Linked DNA regions of Macaca mulatta. The protein of the gene in region 2 purifies or fractionates together with the protein of the main gene of each other region. This does not show direct contact. Links are inferred from orthologs where the notes say so. Each region holds a gene or a part of one and is shown on either strand. Other genes may lie near its edges.

What was found. Proteins that work in one complex are often made in the same cells at the same time.
Region 1: the proteins of KHDRBS1 (region 2) and PLCG1 purify together in Homo sapiens (affinity purification with western blotting; 7 studies listed by BioGRID and IntAct, with this or other methods). This does not show direct contact. The link is inferred for Macaca mulatta from reciprocal best matches to the Homo sapiens genes KHDRBS1 and PLCG1.

What each region holds. Positions count from the first base shown.
Region 1 is NC_133415.1:93,996,882-94,007,449, reverse strand, and holds the start of PLCG1 (1-phosphatidylinositol 4,5-bisphosphate phosphodiesterase gamma-1), read right to left. Parts: upstream 6,111-10,568; 5' UTR 6,043-6,110; intron 5,553-6,042; 5' UTR 5,432-5,552; coding exon 5,215-5,431; intron 1-5,214. UniProt on the Homo sapiens protein: Mediates the production of the second messenger molecules diacylglycerol (DAG) and inositol 1,4,5-trisphosphate (IP3). Plays an important role in the regulation of intracellular signaling cascades.
Region 2 is NC_133406.1:208,845,524-208,855,331, forward strand, and holds part of KHDRBS1 (KH domain-containing, RNA-binding, signal transduction-associated protein 1), read right to left. Parts: intron 7,524-9,808; coding exon 7,399-7,523; intron 6,297-7,398; coding exon 6,180-6,296; intron 4,640-6,179; coding exon 4,493-4,639; intron 1,270-4,492; coding exon 1,136-1,269; intron 342-1,135; coding exon 140-341; intron 1-139. UniProt on the Homo sapiens protein: Recruited and tyrosine phosphorylated by several receptor systems, for example the T-cell, leptin and insulin receptors. Once phosphorylated, functions as an adapter protein in signal transduction cascades by binding to SH2 and SH3 domain-containing proteins.

The DNA of each region.
Region 1 (10,568 bases), on a different chromosome or scaffold from region 2:
CCAGCCAACTGCCGTGTCTCCCCGCAAAACCAGCAGTGGGAAAGAGCCCTGACAATAGAGGGATTGCTGAGAGCTGCAAGAGAGGATGGGCAGGCCTCCTTGCCTCTGAATCAAAGGGCTTGGTGGCCAGGCACCAGTCCCTTAGGACAACAGGTGCATTCGCTCTTCTCCCCACTAGGTCCTCCTGGGAACTTAATCCTCATCTCTGTCCTGTCAGGGTTCCTACGTAGTAAGCACTTACACTGTGCCACACATCATGCTAAGCACTTTATACAGGTTCTCATCAAATCCTCACAAAAACCTTATAAAATAAATGCCATTTGATACTATCCCTTTTACAGATAAGCAGCCCAGAGAGGTAAAGCCACATGCTTTAAGGTCACAGAGCAAGTAAGCTGCACAACAGGATTTTAATTCAAGCAAAGTCTAGGGCCCAAATGCTTAACTACTAAGCTCTGTCTCACCCCTCAAGACCCAGCCCTTCTCCCATCCACCACCATGGCATCCCCACCCTGCCTCAGCAAGAAGGTCTTATCTGGGCCCTCATCAGTTCTCTCCTGCAAACTGGAGGAGCTCACTGGCCTCCCTCCCCAACACCTGCCTGACAAACCACTGCCACTGTGGTCTCCCAGACAGAGGCAAGTCAGTCCCACTACAGCCTCTGCTGACTCCCGCTGCCTCCAGAACTGAGTGTAATCTGCTGGGCACGGCACGCCAGGGCTACAGCTGTCTCCAACCAGTCCCAGCCTCCTCTCTACCACACCAACTCTGTTCCCTACCCCTGCACGGAGTGATTCCCAGTTCCTCAGCCTCGGCACAGGCAGGTGCCTCCGTAATTCAAGGCCCACCTCAAAGGTCACCTCTCCTTTAATGCCTTCCTGGCAGAGCTCCTCACAGTTCTTGGCAGAGGCTTTTATATTATGGCATGTAACACACAGGGTTATAATCACATGCCTCTACATCTGTCTATTCCAAGAGTTCCTCAATGGCACAAACCATGTCTCAATAAACTTTTGAATCCTTGCTGCCTAGCACTGGGTGAATTGGAGGTATAATAATACTTATTGCAAATATTAATAAATGTGCCTCATTCCAAGAAGCTACCCAGAGCAAAGCTGGTAGTCAAGATCTCTAAACTCCAACTGAATCCTGTGCATCTATGTACACATACACGCAGAGTCCGGAGAGAAGCTGGAGGTGTTGTGGGTCCCAGGACTGGGTGTGCTCAGCTCCTCCAGTTATCTGTGAAGCAGGCCCTTTTCCTAGGTTCACAGGAAACAGAGGATCCCAGCTGGGCGGGGGGCCTGGAAACCCACACATCAGGGCAAGCCTGGGGTGCTGAGGAAACACTAAAAGGTCTGACTTCCCTTGGAAAAAACTACATTCAGACAGGAAACACACAGGCAGGGATGGCTAGCTCTGGAGATCCGGACATGTGCTCTTGCCCCTCTCCCACTGGGAGTAACAGCCAGTACAAAGAAAACCCTTGATGACACCGGCCTGGGCCTTGCCCTCTCCCGTGCTGTGGGCCTAGCCCTCGGAGCAGACCTCCTGGTGTGGTCTGCTCCCCAGCCACAGGGGTCAAGCCCCAGCCAGCTGGTTCCACTACTACCTCCCTTCTGAGCCCACCTGCCTCATCAAGGCGGTTAGCTGTTTTCTTCCGCCACCCTCACCCTCTTCATCAAAGGTACTGCTCACAATTGTCATTGCCTGTTTTCGTTTCCCTAAAAGCAAGCACCCATATTCATTTACCTGAGAGGGCCTGGCATCTAGAAAAGTATCTAGTGAAGAATCAGCCAAAGACAGAAGATTAGGCCCCAGAAGTCCCCAAGGACATGCTCAGTCAGTATTCACAGAGTACCTCCAGTGTCTACACCAGTGTTTACTGGGCCCACAAAGACCCTCAAATGGACAACCTCATTAAACACGAGTCTGAACCATCTCAACTCAGAAGACACCAGAAGAAAAAGTGTGGAGCCAGAGCCTAGAGAGGCTGAGGCTGTCTTGGGATACCAAAGCCAAAGCGGTCTTTGCCCTGTAATGCACGGCCTGAGCACAAAGGTGTCTCACAGAGGAGCCACGTAGATCACAGGGAACATGGTCTTGGGGTTGCTAGTCAGCCACTGACTAGTGAGCTGGCCCCAGCTGAGGCCCTGGCACACACTGACACTTACAACACCTTGGGCACAAACGATTCTCCATTTCCATTTCCTCATCTGTAAAATGGGACGAAAGGTCTCGATAGCACTCAGCTGGAACTCTACGTAACTGAATTTTATTCATTTATGTCAGTATCTGCAACATAAAAGGCCAAACACCAACCTGGTTCCTGTCATACCACCAGGACAACCAAACTTGTCAACACCTAAGCACTTCCCCACCCCGCCTTTGAGCCAAATGACCACCCTAGAAATCAGCAGGTGTCAGCTCCATTTCACAAGTGCTGACGCGAGAGGGCACAGAGTCAGGGCAGAAATAGGTCTTACATATGAGTGCTCCTTAAACCACACTGTCTCTCCCTCAGGTCCACCGACACCCTGAAGGTAGCACAGTGTCTCTCTCTTTGGCCGGGCTTCAGGCACTGCTGGTACCCTGGTAGGGTCAGCAGGAAAGGCCAGATACTTGAGGCACTTGGGCAAGAGTCCAGGTGGCAGAAAACCCGGCTGGCAGTCCAACCTCCTCAGAGGCCGCAGGAATCAGAACCTACCAACAAGGAGAGCCCATGAATGGACAGAAACAGGGCAGGCTTCAGTGGAAGCCTCCATTAGTAAAGTCTGAACACACAGGCATCAACCAGACTTTTCATCCAGGCTCCTTTCAATTTGAGTCCCCAAAATCCAAGACCCAGGGTCCTCCTACATCCTTTGCCTACCCTCCAGGCCTGTCAAATCCTAGCTAACTGATGAGATCACTGAATGTGTACACCTCTGGCTGACCCACCTGCTCACTGCTGGGTAGGGGGTTATCAGGTCCTCTGTGTGCCTGCCTCCATCCCCCAAAGACCTGAGGCATGATAGATCATGCCCTCTCTGCACCCCTTTTCTGTTCAGGCCCCAACTTACGAACAAGAAAGGTTACACCCAGGAGTCAAATGTGCACAACTCCAAACACTTTCTCTAAAGAAACACTGTTTTACATGGTGGGTGGGTGAGTGGGCACATGGGTTGAGGCAAAACAAAACCGTTTCCTGCCTTTTTCTGAGTAGCAGTCTAAGTGAAATGTGAATTTGGTCACCATCCTCCTCCCTTCCTGCACCTTCACCCTTACCTCCAGCCACACCTCACCCCCTCACCATTCCCAGTTGAGGGTCTTGAAGGGCAGCCATGGTCTATTGTTAATGTTATTACTAATAACAGCTCACATTTATTAAACATTTATGTGTCAGACAATGCTAGATATTTTTACATGAATTGTCTCATTTGATCCTGGAGCAACCATATATAGTGGATATATTACTACCCCCATTTTACAGATGAGGAAATCAAGACTCAGAGAAGGTAAGTAACTGGCTGGGAAACATACAACAAATATATGGGCTTCAAATCCAGACTTGCCATCAACCACTGTGCTACATTTATTGCCTGCTAATATGCATGGTTTAAAATGCAGTCTGTTACCCAGGAGATCTCTTGAGAACTTTCAGCCAGTGCCACCAACTCAACACAGCATAGGGAGCAAGGAAGGGGACCATGCCTGGAGTCTGATGCCTGAGTGACGTTCCCAGGATTATCTCAGCTCTTTGCAGTGCCCATCCTTCCTCTACTTTGGAATCCACAGGCTCTCAAGTCACTAAAATATTCTCCCAGTGGCTGACAGGGTCAGTGGGGGCACTGAGGAAGGCGGCTGCCATTTCTAAGTTGAGCAGCTGCGTTAGATCTGTGTCAGATCTGGAGTTTGTAGCTGAGGATGGCTGGCTGCCTCACCACAAGACCTTCCTTCCTCCCAATCTCCTCAACCATCTACACACATGCACACCATACCCAAGAAGGTTTGTGGGACCCCCCCTTTGGGGTGTCACTTCCTGATCCCCCTCCTTCACACAGACCTGGTTCTGAGCCCGGGTCTCTCTAACCCCAGTCTCCGGGGGTCCCTGCAAGAAGCAACCTAGTCTGGAGTTGCAGACACACCATCTCTTCACACTGAGAGGCGGGGGAATGGAGTGGCAAAGCAGAGTGCCCATCCGACCACAGCACAGGCACGCGCTAAGTGGAACAACTCTCAAAGATCTGGGGTTTTTCAAAATCCCCCAACTCCCTCCTCCCACTACAGACCAGCACAAAAGCAGCCAAGCTCAGGCCTGGGAAGGCGAAAAGGCAGGAAACCAAGAGAAGCCGCTCCCGCTCCCTGAAGCCACCGGACAGAGGACAAAGGGCTAGACTCCAAACTAGCTGCACTCCTGAGAAGAGTACCTGACTCCAAGGCGCTGGGGCAGGCCTTTATGGGGCCCATCTTCTGGGAACGTGCTTCCCAGGGCAAGGGGAGTCCCTGTTCTGGCACTGAGTGTCTGCCCACCCACATAGGCTTCCAAAACTCAGCTTTGGGACAAAAGTAGCATTAAAAACAAAACAAAACAAAACAAAAACAAAAAAAACAGCCACTGCCTTCTCTCAGGCTTCTCCAAACCAAACAAGACCACCTTCCTCCCTCTCCCCCAGAGGGAGATGAGTAGGCCCGGCTCTGCTCCAAGACCAGCCCTACCCAACATCTGCCTAAGTTCTACTTAGGGAACCCAAAGGTTCCTTTGCAACCAAGAGCCCAGCCTGGGGGCCCGGAGAGTTTCACAGACTGCTCTTTCTGGAAAAAGAGTGGTGGGCGGGGACCGTCTGGTCAGGCCCCAGGTTCCCGTGCTGGGTTGGGGCCGCTGCCTTAGCTCCCCTCAACGATGCCACCACCACTCCCAGGGTCTGGGGGGGCCCGATGCCCGCACCGCAGATCTCCAGCCCGCGAGGATTTTTAGGCCTCAGGGCAAAGCTCCAGGAACAGTAACTCCCCCCAGCTGGGGGAGGGGGTGTCCTGTCAGGTGACCGAGGACCCGGATGCCCCCCGCCCCCAGTGACCACCCGAGACGAAGCGGGGGCGGGGCCCCGAGGGGGTGGGGGAAGGCCCGAAAGTTTGCCCAAGTCGCTGGGGCGGCCGGCCGGGGCGCAGGCAGTTGGGCCGGGCTCCCACGACCCTAGCGCGCGGCGGGCCCAAGCAGGAAGGGGGCGCACTTACTGGCCCCCTCTATCTTGTCGGCGCCCCGGCTCCACGTGATCTGGCGCGTCTCCAGCTTGACCTGGAAGGTCTTCCGCTCGGGTCGCTGCGACTTCTTGGAGTAGAACAAAGTCATGACGGTGCCCACCTCGAGGCTGCGGCAGAGGTGCAGCACCTCGGCGTCCGAGGGCGCGCCGGGCCCGCAGCCGTTGGCGCAGGGGGATGCGGCGCCCGCCATGGCTCCGACGCTGGGGGCGGCGACGGCACAGGCCGGGACGGCCCGGGAGCAGGCGCAACGACGCCGGCTGAGGTTGGGGCTGAGGCTGAGGCGGCCGACGAGCGGGACCCGGCGGCTGCTCCTGCAGGCGGACACGGGGCGGGGCCTGAGCGCGGCAGGGCGGGGCGGGGCGGCCCTGAGGCCCCGCCCCGCTCGCGCGCCGGGAACAAAGGCGCCCGCGCACCCGTGGGGAGGACCCCCGCCCGCCGGCCCGCTGCGCCTGCGCCCCACGACCCCCAGACAGGCCGCAGGCGGGGACGGAGGCTCGATGGCGGCGGGAGCGCGCGCCGTTCCCGGTCGACCCACCCAGCCCTCAGTCCCGCAGAGCTTTCTCACGCAGCCCCGGACACAGCCCGGCGGCCACGAGCGGCCCTGTCACGCACGGCAGCCCCGCCCACAGGCCGCAGGCCCCGCAGCCGGCGCGCCAGTCAGGCGTACTCGCACGGGCGTCTGCCAGCCCGCGGTCCCGCACAGACGCAGCCCCCGCGTCCCGAACACCGCCCATGCAGCGACCAGGACGGGACGCGAGGAGGTGGCGCGTCCTCCGGGCATGCCTGGCCAAACCCAGTTACCTGGGCGGGCTTCCCGGCGAAGGGAGCCAGGCCGGGCCGCCTCACACCGGCGGTGGCAGCGGGTTCTCCGCGCGCCCTCTCCTGAGAGGGGCGGGGGCGGGGCCGCCTGCGGATTGGCCGCAGGCACTGATGGACAGCCGACATGTCCCGCCCCCCGGCAGCGCGGGGCTGGCCCCTGGCCGCTCTTGGGACGGCCAGACCCACGTCTGTCTGTTCCGCCTCTGCTGCCAGGGTGGCCTTCAGTGGTCCTTTCGTTCGGAGAGTTCCCCCCAGCCCCTTGCAGGGGCGTTAAGTCCGCGGCCGCGCTGCCCAGCGGCCTGACCTGCAGCTCCCAGGGCCTTTGTGTCTGTCCTTCGCATGGGCCTCTGTACGCTCCGTCTCCACGCGGCGGGACTGGAGTCTGATCCCGGGCGCCCCTCCTGCAAATGCTCTCCTGAACTTTGATTTTCCCCGCCTTACTTTCCTCCTCCTCCTGTGGCCGCTGCTTCTCGATCTCAGAAGCTTCTCTTCCTCTGCACTCAGTGCTAGGCCAGATCCCAAGGCGACCTGACCTTTCCCCTGGCTTTACCCGCCACACAGGCACCGATGACTCGAAACCTGCATCTCCCCTACGTTCCAGGCCCCAGCATCCCACTGCATGTGCCACATCCCCCCACCTTAGACAGCTCACCTTCCCTCCCCAAACGGTTCTTTCCAGTCTTCACTTTCTCAGAACGTGGCGCTAAACTCCTCTAAGTTGGAAGGCCAAAAACCTTGCAGATAACTTTGCTCCCTCTGCCTCACCTCCAATCCATCAAGATCTGTTCACTGAACCCACAAGCTGAAGGCCCCATCTCCTGTCACCCAGACTATTCACTTTTGTTTTGCCTGGATCTATTCTCCATGCTTTAAGTCTTTACAATGAAATTAAATAATGATCCCCTACATCCAGCCTAGAACCCTCCATGAATTCCTATTGCACCTAAAATCCACACTCGCTGCTTGGCCTAGCAGGTTCTATATGACCTGCCCATCTCACCAGTTTCATCTCTCACAAGTGATCCTTCGCTCTCCATTCTCCAGCCACAAGGCCTTTTTCTGGTTATGGAATAATTCATACTCTTCGTCTTTCTGAAGCCATTCTTGAAACTCACCCCTGCAATCTATCTGCCGCTGTCAGCACCGCCAAAATTGAGGACACCAACGGTCGCAGTGGAGTCTGATATGTTGAGCCAGGCAGTGGGTCGGCTGCCAGACACAGCAGGACAACTTACTGCATTTCAGAGGTGAGAAGCCCAACAGAGCTTCCAGCTGATGCCAGAGAAAGAGCCAGGCTTCCTGGGATTTGTGGGATAGTAGGACTAGAGTTTGTAAGTATGTAAGAGTGTGTGCTCAGGCAACCTACTCAGCTGGATAGTGACCTGGGGCTGCTGCTTCTGACTTTGTCTTGCTGTAGTGGAAACTTGTGTGTTTCGTTGATATCCTCAAGTGCATCCCCTAAGAAGCTCAGAATTCAGCATGACTTTGAGACACTTTGTCCTAGCCAGCTTCTTTGGCCTAGGGAGCGGTGGGGTAGCTGAGATGGACTGCCACCTAGTGGCAGGCCTTTACGTGGGCGGGAGGGAGCTGGCATAGACCCTGTGCTGAAGGCATGCACCTGTGGTCACACCTGATCTCATAATTATCCTCTAATGAGGAATGATGGTCTGCAGTTTACTGATGAGAAACAGATTCAGAGAAGTTCTACAATTTGCCCCAAAGCCCCATAACTAACATAACTAGGTGGGAATTAGAACCAAGTCGACCTGACTCCATGAGTTTTCTGCCTCACAGGAGATCCACTGGCTTAGGTAAGTCCTGGTGGTCAGTAGTCAGTGGGCATGGAGGCTCTGGTTAATCAGCATGGGTGAGGGGAGGCATGCTCACTGCTGGCCTAGGGCACAGGGAAATCCAGCAGAACGTGAATGCTCACAGAGTGTGGCTTGAACTGGCTTAGGCTTAAAGTTCTGTGGACCCTGCTCTTCCCTGTGTTGGGCCTTGACAACATGAGTTAGGAGCACAAGAGAGACCCAGCGCCAGCTCTCCGGGAGTTCAGACATTAAACACTCTGTTACATAAAGACAATTGTGATGAGGGCTAGGAGGAAAAACATTGGGTCGAGATCTCTTCAGACCGCAGCAGAGGTCTAAAGGAAGTGAGTCAATGGCGAGGTGAATTATTAAAGGTGGGTTGGAGAAAAATACGTTCCAAGTAGAGGTAACAGCATGTACAAAGGCCCTGAGGCCAGGAAGAGGTTTGAATTTAGGGTTACAAAGCTAGAGTTTCCTAACTGAGGAGGGGATAGGGAGTGATGAGGCCAGGAAGGCGGGCAGGGGCTGAATGGGGCCCCTCTCTGGCTGTCTGATTCTGTTTTTTACAGGAGGCACCCTCCTAAGTGCTGCAGCCCTCGTTGAGCTTCCCATGCTGACAAAGGCAGCCTGTGGGCTCGATACACTTTTTAAATCTGTTTCTCCATTTTTTTGGGGGAGCTTCCTAATGTGCAGGGTAAGTCTTCCTTGCTTTTACTTTTGCCTCTGGGGCTGGACCTCCAGGGGCTCAAGAAATCCCTGCCAACAAGAGCTTGAGTTTTCAGCCCATTGCCAGGCCTGTAATCAGAGAACAGGGCCCATTTCCTCCTGGGACTTCTGGGCCAGCATCCCAGGCCTCAGTTGCCTGCTTCCACCAAAGGAGGTGCAGGAAAAACAGGGCATGCAGAGGGTGTGGTCTGTGTGGGCTTCCCCCAGCTCAGCATATATATGGGTGTGTGGGTGTGAATGGCAATACGTGCAGCTGCGCTGTCTGGGAGGAGCAGCCCAGCACCCACACAAGGCACACGCCTGTGACGTCACCCAGGCTAGCCCGCTCAGGCCTATTTCTGTGAGCATGCATGCTTCAGCATGCCTTGGCCTACACTGTACCTGTGCCCGTGCCCAGAGTCTGGGGAGAGTCCCAGCCCAGCTGCCCCTCGGGACCTGTGGGTTTGGCCTCACAGCTGTTTATTAAATGACCACTTAGAACAGTGGTTGGTGTATAGTAAACACTATGGAACTGCTTTATCCACATTGTCTCATTTCTTCCTCATTACAGCCCTATAAGTGCTCTTATTACCCCCATTTTCCAGATGAAAAAACTGAGGCACAGAGCTAAAAGGCAGGATTGAAACCCAGGTAGTCTGGCCCCAGAGTCAGTGCTGTTTTGCTTCCCATGTATGTATGAACACTTTATTGTATATCCTCTCTCCTTTGTAAAATACCCCTACCTGATGTATTTTCTTTTTTTTTTTTTTTTTGAGACAGAGTTTCTCTCTCGTCGCCCAGGCTGGCGTGCAATGGCGCAATCTCGGCTCACTGCAAACTCCGTCTCCCAAGTTCAAGCAGTTCTCCTGCCTCAGCCTCCTGAGTCTCTTTTGATTCAGTGCTGTCACAGGTTGGGTTCTTTGGATGCGGACTCTGTGACAGGTTAGTGTGCAGCATGTTTATTAGGGAGTGCTCCTGGGATCAACACTCAGGGAGGTACTGGAAAGAAACAGGAGTGGGCACAGGGCAAACTAAACGGAGACGCACGCCTGATGACAGTCTCAGCCAACCCCCAGGATCTCTTGTCTGGCACTAGCCTGGAAAGGAGTTGTAATGTCCTGGGAAGAGCCTAGCCTGGGCCAGACGGCACTCTGCAGCCAAGGTGATCTTTGAGGGGCTGGCAGCTAAAGATTTTCTGCTGACAGCTCTCCCAATAGTTGGGTCAACAAGTCCTTCCTTGAAGGGGATCTGGGTGGCACATTGCTATGCCTACCACAAATGTATTCTTTTTCAGCCCTTTAAAAAAAAGCTTTGAGTACTTAAAAATAGAGAACAAAATATAGAAATAGGAGATGAGATTATAAGGAGGAGGATGATAATATGGTTTATGGGTTAACGTAGCTGATGTGATTGAGAATTAAACATGGCTGAGCTTCCTGATAGCCAAAACAATAACACTTTCTATCTGTTAACTGGTTCTTTGGAGTAAAAAAAAAATTCTGGGGTTAAATTATAAAAGAAGTTTCTCACCTGGATACTTATTTAATTGAAATAGTGGAGAATGTTCTCAACTGATTAATAGCAAATACTGATGCCATTTTCATTTGTTCCTTGTAATGGCTTTGAGTGAATATCGAAGGCATAATATACAAGTATAGCGTATAGCTCAGTGAAGCCCTTTTCACATTAGAAGGGAACAGATTTATAGTCTTGCAGTGTCTAATTTGATCCACGTGTAGAACATTGTCCTTTTCCTTTAAACCATTCTTTTTTTTTTTTTTTTTTTTTAACTCTTATTGCCCAGGCCAGAGTGCAGTGGCACGATCTTGGTTCACTGCAACTCCCGCCTCCCGGGTTCAAGCAAGTCTCCTGCCCCAGCCTGCTGAGTAGCTGGGATTACAGGCACGTGCCACCATGCCCAGCTAATTTTTTGTATTTTTAGTAGAGACAGGGTTTCATCATGTTGGCCAGGTTGGTCTCGACTTCTGACCT
Region 2 (9,808 bases):
TCACTGCAAGAGAAGAGGGCAGATTGCAAATCTTATAGGCAGCCCATGACACCCACATAAAGGACCGAGGCCCTGTCATTCAATTTCCTTTGGCAGCCTTCTAGGTATTGGGAAAGGGCACATTGTTCAAATTTCTTACATATTCTTCATATGTTTCTGGTGCAGGAGGTGGAGGCAAAGGTATCCTCTGGATGCCCGCTGTCCGTGCTCTTGGTGCTGGAGCACCCCTCACAGTAGGTGGGGGTGGCACGCCTCGAGTCACAGTGGCACCTCTGGTGATGGCTCCCCTTACTGGTGTACCACGTACCAAAGCCCCCCGAGGTGGTCCAACACCACGGCCCCTACAAAATGAAAGTTTATTTTAAATGGAGCTTTTTATAAACAGACTTTTATGTTCTGATTTGTTTATAAATTCTGGAGTTAAGCAGATTTCATGAAGCGTTAACTATTATTAAAGCACGGAGGAATGTACAGGGTAAAGGACCCACACTGCAAGATCCCCCAGGTCCTACAGTGGACCAGGTCATCACTGCACTGCCTTGGGTAGGTCTGGAGAGTCTGAATACTCCATAAAGGTCAGTCACAAAAGGTAGAATTTTAAAGTCAGACCATTAAAAAATGCTAGGATTGTCCAAAATTAGAAGACCAAAAGTTTCAGCTAGACTGCAGCACTTGGCTATCGTCCAAGTGCCCAAGAGCTAGAACTCTTTTTTTTTTTTTTGAAATGGAGTCTTGCTCTATCACCCAGGCTGGAGCGCAGTGGCATGATCTTGGCTCACTGCAACCTCTGTCTCCTGGGTTCAAGCAATTCTCTTGCCCCAGCCTCCTGAGTAGCTGGGATTACAGGTGTATAGCACCACACCCGGCTAATTTTTGTATTTTTAGTAGAGACTGGGTTTCGCCACATTGACCAGGCCGGTCTCAAACTCCTAATGTCAGGTGATCTGCCTGCCTTAGCCTCCCAAAATGCTGGGATTACAGGCGTGAGCCATCATGTCTGGTTGTAGAATTCTATTCTCGATGCAAAGTACAAATCCTGAGAACCTTCCTAAGTGAGACATAAGAGCACCACTAAAAGAGATGATACTAGTAGTCAAATTTACATCTTATTTCTGGGTGTCTCCATTATTTTTACCTGGGAACAGGTGGTGGAGGTGGTGCAGCTCCTCGGCCTCTCACTGGCACCCCACGTCCACGAGAGGGTTCAGGTACTCCATTCAAGTAGGACAGCTCTAGAAATTGCTCCTGGCAGATATCATCCATCATGTCCTGGGAATGAAAGATACGAGTATTGTGTAATATCTACAGTTTCTACTGAGAAACCATCCGGCCCATGGGAGCCTTGAATTCTAAGAACAGCTTTGAGAGCCCAGATGAGGTCTCACATCATTCATTCTCTGAAGTCAAATGGCACCCTACCTGTCACCTCTTTGAGAAAAGTCTTTTTTTTTTTTTTTTTTTTGAGACGGAGTCTGGCTCTGTCGCCCAGGCTGGAGTGCAGTGGCCAGATCTCCGCTCACTGCAAGCTCCGCCTCCCGGGTTCGCACAATTCTCCTGCCTCAGCCTCCCGAGCAGCTGGGACTACAGGCGCCCGCCACCTCGCCCGGCTTATTTTTTTTTGTATTTTTAGTAGAGACGGGGTTTCACCGTGTTAGCCAGGATGGTCTCGATCTCCTGACCTCGTGATCCGCCCGTCTCGGCCTCCCAAAGTGCTGGGATTACAGGCTTGAGCCACCGTGCCCAGCCGAGAAAAGTCTTGACGGCAGACTCCTCATTATTCATAATGTGCTCCCTGCCTAGCTCTCTGGATCACTTCCATTCGTTCTATATATATAAAACCTCCCCACAAGCCACACTGAACAACTTGTAGTTCAGAGCCTGGCATACTCTTACACATCCATTCTTTGCAAATAGTTTCCTCTTCCTGGAATAATAAAAGCCACTACCATTAATGGAGCTGTATGCACTTGGCTCCATATAATAAACTTTATATAGACTTTTCAGTTTTATCTTCAAAATGTCCCTGAAGTAGGCAGATCTCCACATTTTACAGTTAAGAAAACAGACTCAAAGAGTATACATCAACCAGCTTAAGAACATAGAGCTAATAAATGGCAGACTCTAGATGTGAATTCAGAATTACCTGTCTCAAAATCTAGGTGTTGGATCAACAGGCTTTTTTGTCCTTATACTGTCTTTTTTGTCCACCTGAGGGATTCTTAACTCATCCTTGTAAGACTTGTCTAAATAAGTGTCTCTTGAAAAACCTTCTCTTGATGCCATTCCTACAACTCCTCTTTTCTCAAAGTACCACATAATTCCCTACATGCAAGCACTTACCACATCATTTTAGAATTGTCTGTCACTAAACTGTAAGCTCTTCAGGAGCCATTTTTGTAACTTTACACCGAAGCATAGTATCAGACATCTGACAGATATTTAAGAAATGTTTGGATGAAAAACCTGAAGTTCAGAAAAATGAAATGATAACCTGTCCAGGAAGACATACAGAGACAGATATACATGGTCCAGTGCTCTTTCTACTGCACTGTGAGGCATTACTGGTATAATTAATTATTTTAAGGGGAAAATGGAGGGCTCTGGTCACAGATGCAAAAATAATCTCACTTTTTTTTCCTCCACAAGAGGGAAAAATCAAGCCAAATGCCATTTGCAAATCTTTTCACACTTCCTGTTGAGAGCCATTCAGTCTTAATACTTCATGCATTTTTACACATCCCAGATGTATACAGTTTCCATAGATGATGCTAGTCTTTGATGCCCCCCTCAATTGTCCGGCTCCTCCTACCTTACACATTACTGCTGCTTGAGACTCACACATTGGAGAATCAAGTAACTAATGCCAGACCATTCCTCAGACTCCTCCAACTACCACAGCAACACTGAGGAAACCCCCATCTCCCCGGCAGGCATCTTTTTCAAAAGATTCACTTACATGGAAGCCTCATAAACCTAAGCCTTCTGAGGAATATGAGGGAGACTAACAATAAAGAGAGAAGATGGGTATTCCCTCTGCAGTCCTTTGGAAATTGAATGCTTGGGTGATCAATAGAACACCCCAAAAAGAGTAAAAAGAATTCCCTTGAGTAAGATTAACCAGCTGTGTTTTTCTCTAGGATATGTCAAATGGTCTGTTTCACGTCGAACATTCTAATGAAGATGAGGTACTTGAAAGCAAAGCAGCTGCGAAGACATTTGAGACTGTTGGCATCCTTGGAGTTCAGCATTACGGGTACAAAATGCCTGAAATTTTTATTTTCTTTGGAAAAGGAGTTTTACTCTTGTTGCCCAGGCTGGAGTCCAATGGCACAATCTTGGCTTACCGCAACCTCTGCCTCCTGGGTTCAAGCGATTCTCCTGCTTCAGCCTCCTGAGTAGCTGGGCGCTACCACGCCCAACTAATTTTTAGTAGAGACGGGGTTTCACCACGTTGGTCAGGCTGGTCTCGAACTCTCGACCTCAGGTGATCTGCCCACCTCGGCCTCCCAAATTGTTGGGATTATAGGCGTTACCCACCGTGTCCGGCCCACACTGCCTATAAATTTTTGCTCTATCAATTTTCACATCCTCTGACACTACATTTAGTTCCAACTCCCTCATTTAACATTCAAGAAAACCAAGGACTGTATCTTACCACCTCTCAGTTTTCTGATGAACACATGACACTTACTCAATTCTAGTTGAATAATATTCCAAATCCTTCATAAGCTTCCAGATTCATCCTTGTTATTAAATATTCAACAGTAGTATGTTAACTCTGACAACCACCTGGCCTTGCTAAAAGGCAAAAACAGTACCATTTCCTATTTATTCAAAGTAACGTTCCAACCAAGTATTTAAAGATAGTAATAAGCAAGATAGATAAACTGGCCTGTCCTATCTCTATCTAGTCCTCAGTTATAGTCTGAAAAAAGCTGCTCACCAATCTGTGAAACATCAACAGTCAACCTCTTCCAAACCAAACTCATCCTCAGCAAACTCCTCCAGGAAAGAAATCCCTGAGTGTGCTCAGAATTTAACTCAGTAACACTAGATGTTATAAGCTTCTTGCTGTTAGCCTCTACTCTCTACAGCATAAACTTCTTGAGTGCAGGGACGCACCTTAGTCACCTTCTTAATACAATCTCCTTGTTCCACACTACTACCAAAATACTCAGCTAGGTGAAGACCCTGTTAAACCGTAGTTAACCAAGTATCAGAATGCAGGCACATTGTGGACCCGAGATACTGACAACAGATACCGATACACAATGACTACCACATTAGACAAGGAGGGACAGAGTGGCCTTGGAGCATAATGCTTGGAGAACTAGGTACAAGCAATGAACTACCGCAGGAAAATGAACATAAATGCAGAATTTGGTATACATACAGGTTATGCAGAGACCTTAGTTAAGAAACCCTACCTTCACAACAGCATAAGATCCCAGTTCTCTTTTGCTCAGAAGACACAGGATATGGATTTCCTTACCGGTACTAGAAATTTCTTGACTTCCTCCATGGCATGGGCCATAAGAGCATAAGCCTCACATGGGGGTCCAAAGACTTCAATGAAGACATGCAGATCCATATTCAAGTGGGCATATTTGGGGTCTCCACCTTTGCGCAGCTCTTCCTCCTATGGAAAAATGCAGAGAAACGTCACACCACATGGACTAGGGAGAAAACAACACCTTTACCTCTAAGCCAAAGGAACAGCAAGAAATATCCCCAATGTCTAATTAAACTAACAGTAAAGTTTAATTGGTATGAGCTGAGAAGAATTTAAAAAAAAAAAAAAGAAAGAAAGAAAAACAGTAAAGTTTAAGAAAGTAAAACAAGCAGCCAGGCATGGTGGCTCATGCCTGTAATCCCAGCACTTTGGGAGGCCGAGGTGGGCGGATCACTAGGTCAGGAGTTCCAGACCAGCCTGACCAACGTGATGAAGCCTCACCTCTACTAAAAATACAAAAATTAGCCGGGCATGGTGGTGCTTGCCTGTAATCCCAGCTACTCAGGAGGCTGAGGCAGGAGAATCGCTTGAACCCGGGAGTTGGAGGTTGCGCCACTGCACTCCAGCCTGGGCAAGAGCAAGGCTCCGTCTCAAGAAAAAAAAAAAAGTGAAACAAGCTCTGAAGAACAGTAATTTGCACAGCCTGCTAAACTTGCACATGGTCTGCTGCTAACAGTTAATTGTCATCTTAAATCCCTGAGATATCCACTGGAGCTCTTACTAAAAGCATAAAGAAGAAAAACTTAATTCTAGTCTCTATTCAGATAATAGCTGTGTGCCAAGCATTTGTTTTTAAATCTCAGGTAGAGCTGTTAATCACCACGAGCTCTGCTTATCTGCTTATATGGTCTAGGGAGTGCTAGGGGAAGAAAGAAGTCAGGACAGAGAGAAGAAAAGCTCATGTAAATCTCATTAGCTAGAACAACACACTTCAGCCCTAACTATATGCGTCTAGTAAGAAATGACCTGAGAAAACAAACACGTGTCCATTAGGCTACATAAAAGGAGGATTGAAAGAATAGGTTTTCGGACTGTAGCAGGCATATCTCATCAAATAAAGTGACCCCAGAAGGCTAAGACCATTCTGTTTTGGTGAGAAGTTTCTTGTCACAGAGTACACAGTATATGCGGCTATGGCATGGGAAAAGACTCATTAGATTCTGTAGTCAGGATTACTCATGGCTCCTTTTGGAATACATTCTTTTAGTAAGCCTCACATTCCAGCCGGCTATAAAACAAACCAACTAATCCTCAAACTCTTCTGCTCTCACAACACTATTGTTCTCACTTTTCCAGGTTACAAAAAAGGGGGTGTGCTGTTTGCCTTTTAGTGTCTTTTGTCTGCTTTAGACTAAGTTTTAGTATATCCAGCTCCCCTTTCAAGTTTTCCCAGACAATCCTACCAATGCACAAGATGCTACTGCTCTGTCCATTACTATGCAGTCAAAAGTCCAAAAGAAAACTATCACCAGGGCACACCTAGGCTCTTCCAGGGTTGCCAAGCAAGTAAATTAACTTGGTGTATAATCTCTTGCACCCAATGCACACTTAAAGGAGCCACATTCTGTACATACACAATATTCTTGCCTCTATAAGGCATCTATACTGCATTCTGGGCAAGTAGAAGGCATTAGGATGTCCTCTTGCCTCACTAATGTGAGCTTACCTTGGCTTTGTCTCTCATTGAGCCCTTTCCCAACACAGAGATCTTTGCACCAGTCTCTTCCTGCAGTCTTTTGATTGTATTCCCTTGTGGTCCAAGAATCTTCCCCACAAAATTGAACTGACAGAAAATAAAGGATTTCTAAATATACATGCTACTATATAAAAACATCTCCACATAAATTACCTCATTTGATTTTAAACAACCCTGCAAAGGTAGAGTATTACCATTCCCGTTTTACTGAAGGACGCTGAAGCCATATTAATAAAGTGATTAGTTTAAGATTATGAAACTAGAAAGTGGCAGTTCCTAGACCTGAATTTGGCTTTTCTGATGTATTCTGGCCATCTTCCATAATACACTAAGACCTTTACTATTTTATTTTTTACTTTATTTTGAGACAGGCTCTCACTTTGTTGCCCAGGCCAAAGTGTAGTGACATGATCATGGCTCACCGCAGCCTCGACTTCCTGGGCTCAAGTGATCCTCCCGCCTCAGCCTCTGGAGTAGCCGGGACTATAGGTGCACATCACCATATCAGGCTAATTTTTGTATTTTTTGTAGAGATACGGTTTTGCTATGTTGCTTAGGCTGGTCTTGAATTCCTGGGCTCAAGTAATCTGCCTGCATTGGCCTCCCAAAGTGCTGGCATTACAGGCATGAGCCACTGTGCCTGTTTATGCATGCCTTAACATACATAAACATTGTTAACGCAGTGACCTCAGAGCAGAAGAGACTATATAGCACCCTTTGATAGCACGCTGGATAAACTAAATGTAACTAATTGCTTTCCTAAAAAAAGAAAAAAAAAAAAAGGAAGAAAAAAAGCATTTACTTAAAAGTAAACTTTTAGTAAGAAAATAAAATTAACTTCATCCAATTGAGGATTTGTATTATATTTCCTTTTATTTAGATTTCAGGTTAGTCTTTTGACAGAGAGCAACTCTTCAGGTTTTATTTTTTTTTTTTCTTTGAACTTGTAGCCTGAGCAGTCATTAGAGAAAGAAACTTTTTGATAATAAAAAGATTATTACATTTCCTTCCTGGCTATAACTATGTTTAGTTAAGAACTTAGATATTTCAATTGCCAGAAACAGGTACTGCAAGCATGAAAGAGAAGCTTCACAGGCTTAAGTTTCTAAAGCATCACAATCCCCAGGAGTCCATGACTCTCTCGTAACTATAAAGATAACTCAAAGATGCAAGGCACTTTTTGCCTTACCTTGGGATACTGCTTGACAGGTATCAGCACTCGCTCTTTCAGTTTCATGTTCTTATGAGAAAATAAATCCAAGTAATTCTCTTCATCGTCCTTTTTTGAGTCTCCTTTCTGAATCTTCTCAATTTCTGAACAGGAAAAACAATTTAAATTTTTGCTCTGGTAAATAAAAGCAAATTTTGAAGTCTGCTTAAAGCAATAACATGAAGTACCATATAGTGAGACCAAATAGTACACATGAATGTGCCAATTTCAGAAATAAACTAGCTGAAAGTACTAAAGTTATATGAAGTTGATTAGAAAGCCCAAAGCCTGCTTCTAATAAAAGTAGTGTGCTCTTCTAACCTCACCTGAAGCCTCACGTGAGAATAGAGACATTTAAATGTTTCTTAAATCGATTTAACAAAATTAATTGGGTGAGATGGGGAAAGGAGAATAAAGAAACAAACAAAAAATTAAAATCTGCATCAAGACAAAATATAATCTTACCTTGAAAAAAGCAAAAATCAATAATCTAAATATACAATGGATAGTTCCATTAAAGTTCCACAGTGACATTAGTACTCTAGATACTAGTCCTTAAGAGTCTGAAAGACCTTGTTCTTACTCTGCTACTCACTAGTTGTGTGACGTAAGAGAAGTTAATAAAATATGTAGATATGCCTAATTAAAGGCAATTTTTCATAAAGTACTTAATATATTGTCACCATTATCTAGCCCAAATTCAGCCAATGTCTAAACGATACAAAATGCACCAGGTACTTTTTTGAGACGGAGTTTCACTCCTGTTGCCCAGGCTGGAGTGCAATGGTGCAATCTTGGCTCACCGTAACCTCTGCCTCCTGGGTTCAAGCGATTCTCCTGCCTCAGCCTTCCAAGTAGCAGGGATTACAGGCATGTGCCACCATGCCCAGCTAATTTTGTATTTTTAGTAGAGACGGGGTTTCTCCATGTTGGTCAGGCTGGTCTTGAACTCCCGACCTCAGGTGATCCACCTGCCTCAGCCTCCCAAAGTGCTGGGATTACAGGCATGAGCCACCGCGCCCGGCCCAGCCACAAGGTACTTTCTAAAAAAACATTTTATTGAAGTATAACTGATATGTAAAAACCCATACATAATTAATGTATACAATTCATGATGAGTTTGGAGATAAGTATACACCCATGAAACTATCACCACCATTATGGCCACAGACATATCCATCATCACCCAAAAGTACTTTCAATTCACAGGTTAAGACAGTTTCATTAGATAGAAACTTGGCATACAAAAAGATTTCCTACTGGCCGGGCGCGGTGGCTCAAGCCTGTAATCCCAGCACTTTGGGAGGCTGAGACGGGCGGATCACAAGGTCAGGAGATGGAGACCATCCTGACTAACACGGTGAAACCCCGTCTCTACTAAAAAATACAAAAAACTAGCCGGGCGAGGTGGCGGGCGCCTGTAGTCCCAGCTACTCGGGAGGCTGAGGCAGGAGAATGGCGGGAACCCGGGAGGCGGAGCTTGCAGTGAGCTGAGATCCGGCCACAGCACTCCAGCCTGGGTGACAGAGCAAGACTCCGTCTCAAACAAACAAAAAACAAAACAAAAACAAAAAAAAAAGATTTCCTACCATTAAGGAACTTCATTCATTGAGTGACTGCAAGTGTTTGAGTGCTTCCTACGGTATGGAGAGGCAGATGAAGGGAGAGCTATAATAGGTACAATCATTAATCACTATGGAGGACTTACTAAGAGCCAGGCATCTGTCTTGCAAAGCACAGGAGATACAACAGAGCGAGTCAGACTGGTCTCTGTCTTCACTGTTTATATACTGGAGTTCCCAGACTATAGGGGTGGCAATGAAGTATAGTTAAGTGCTATAACAGGAGTTCTAACAGAGATGAGGGAAAAGTGCCCAAGGAATGAGCAGCAACTGAAAGCTTATATGATTCACTGAGAATAGTTAAAATACATATACTCCCTAAAATCAGTGGAACATTCTAAATATCAGAAAATACTCTGTAATAGAATATCACATAATATTCCCATGTTCTAGAATTTTAAGACTAGGGTTCCCAAACTTCTTCATGCATCAGAATCACCTAGAAGAGGGCTTATTAAACTAGACTGCTGGGCCTCAAACCCAGTCTGGGATTTGTGTTAGGAATTTGCAATTCCAACAAGTTCCCAGGTAATTCTGATACTGCTGGTGCAGGGACCATACTTTGAAAATCATTGGCTTAAAGTATAAACATACCCTACCTCAAACACGTTCTGCAAATGTATATACCCTTAACAGTTTTTATTTATTTACTAATTATTATTATTTTTTGAGACACAGTCTCGCTCTGTCACCCAGACTGGAGTGCAGTGGCACAATCTCTGCTCACTGGAACCTCTGCTTCCCGGGTTCAAGCGACTCTCCTGCCT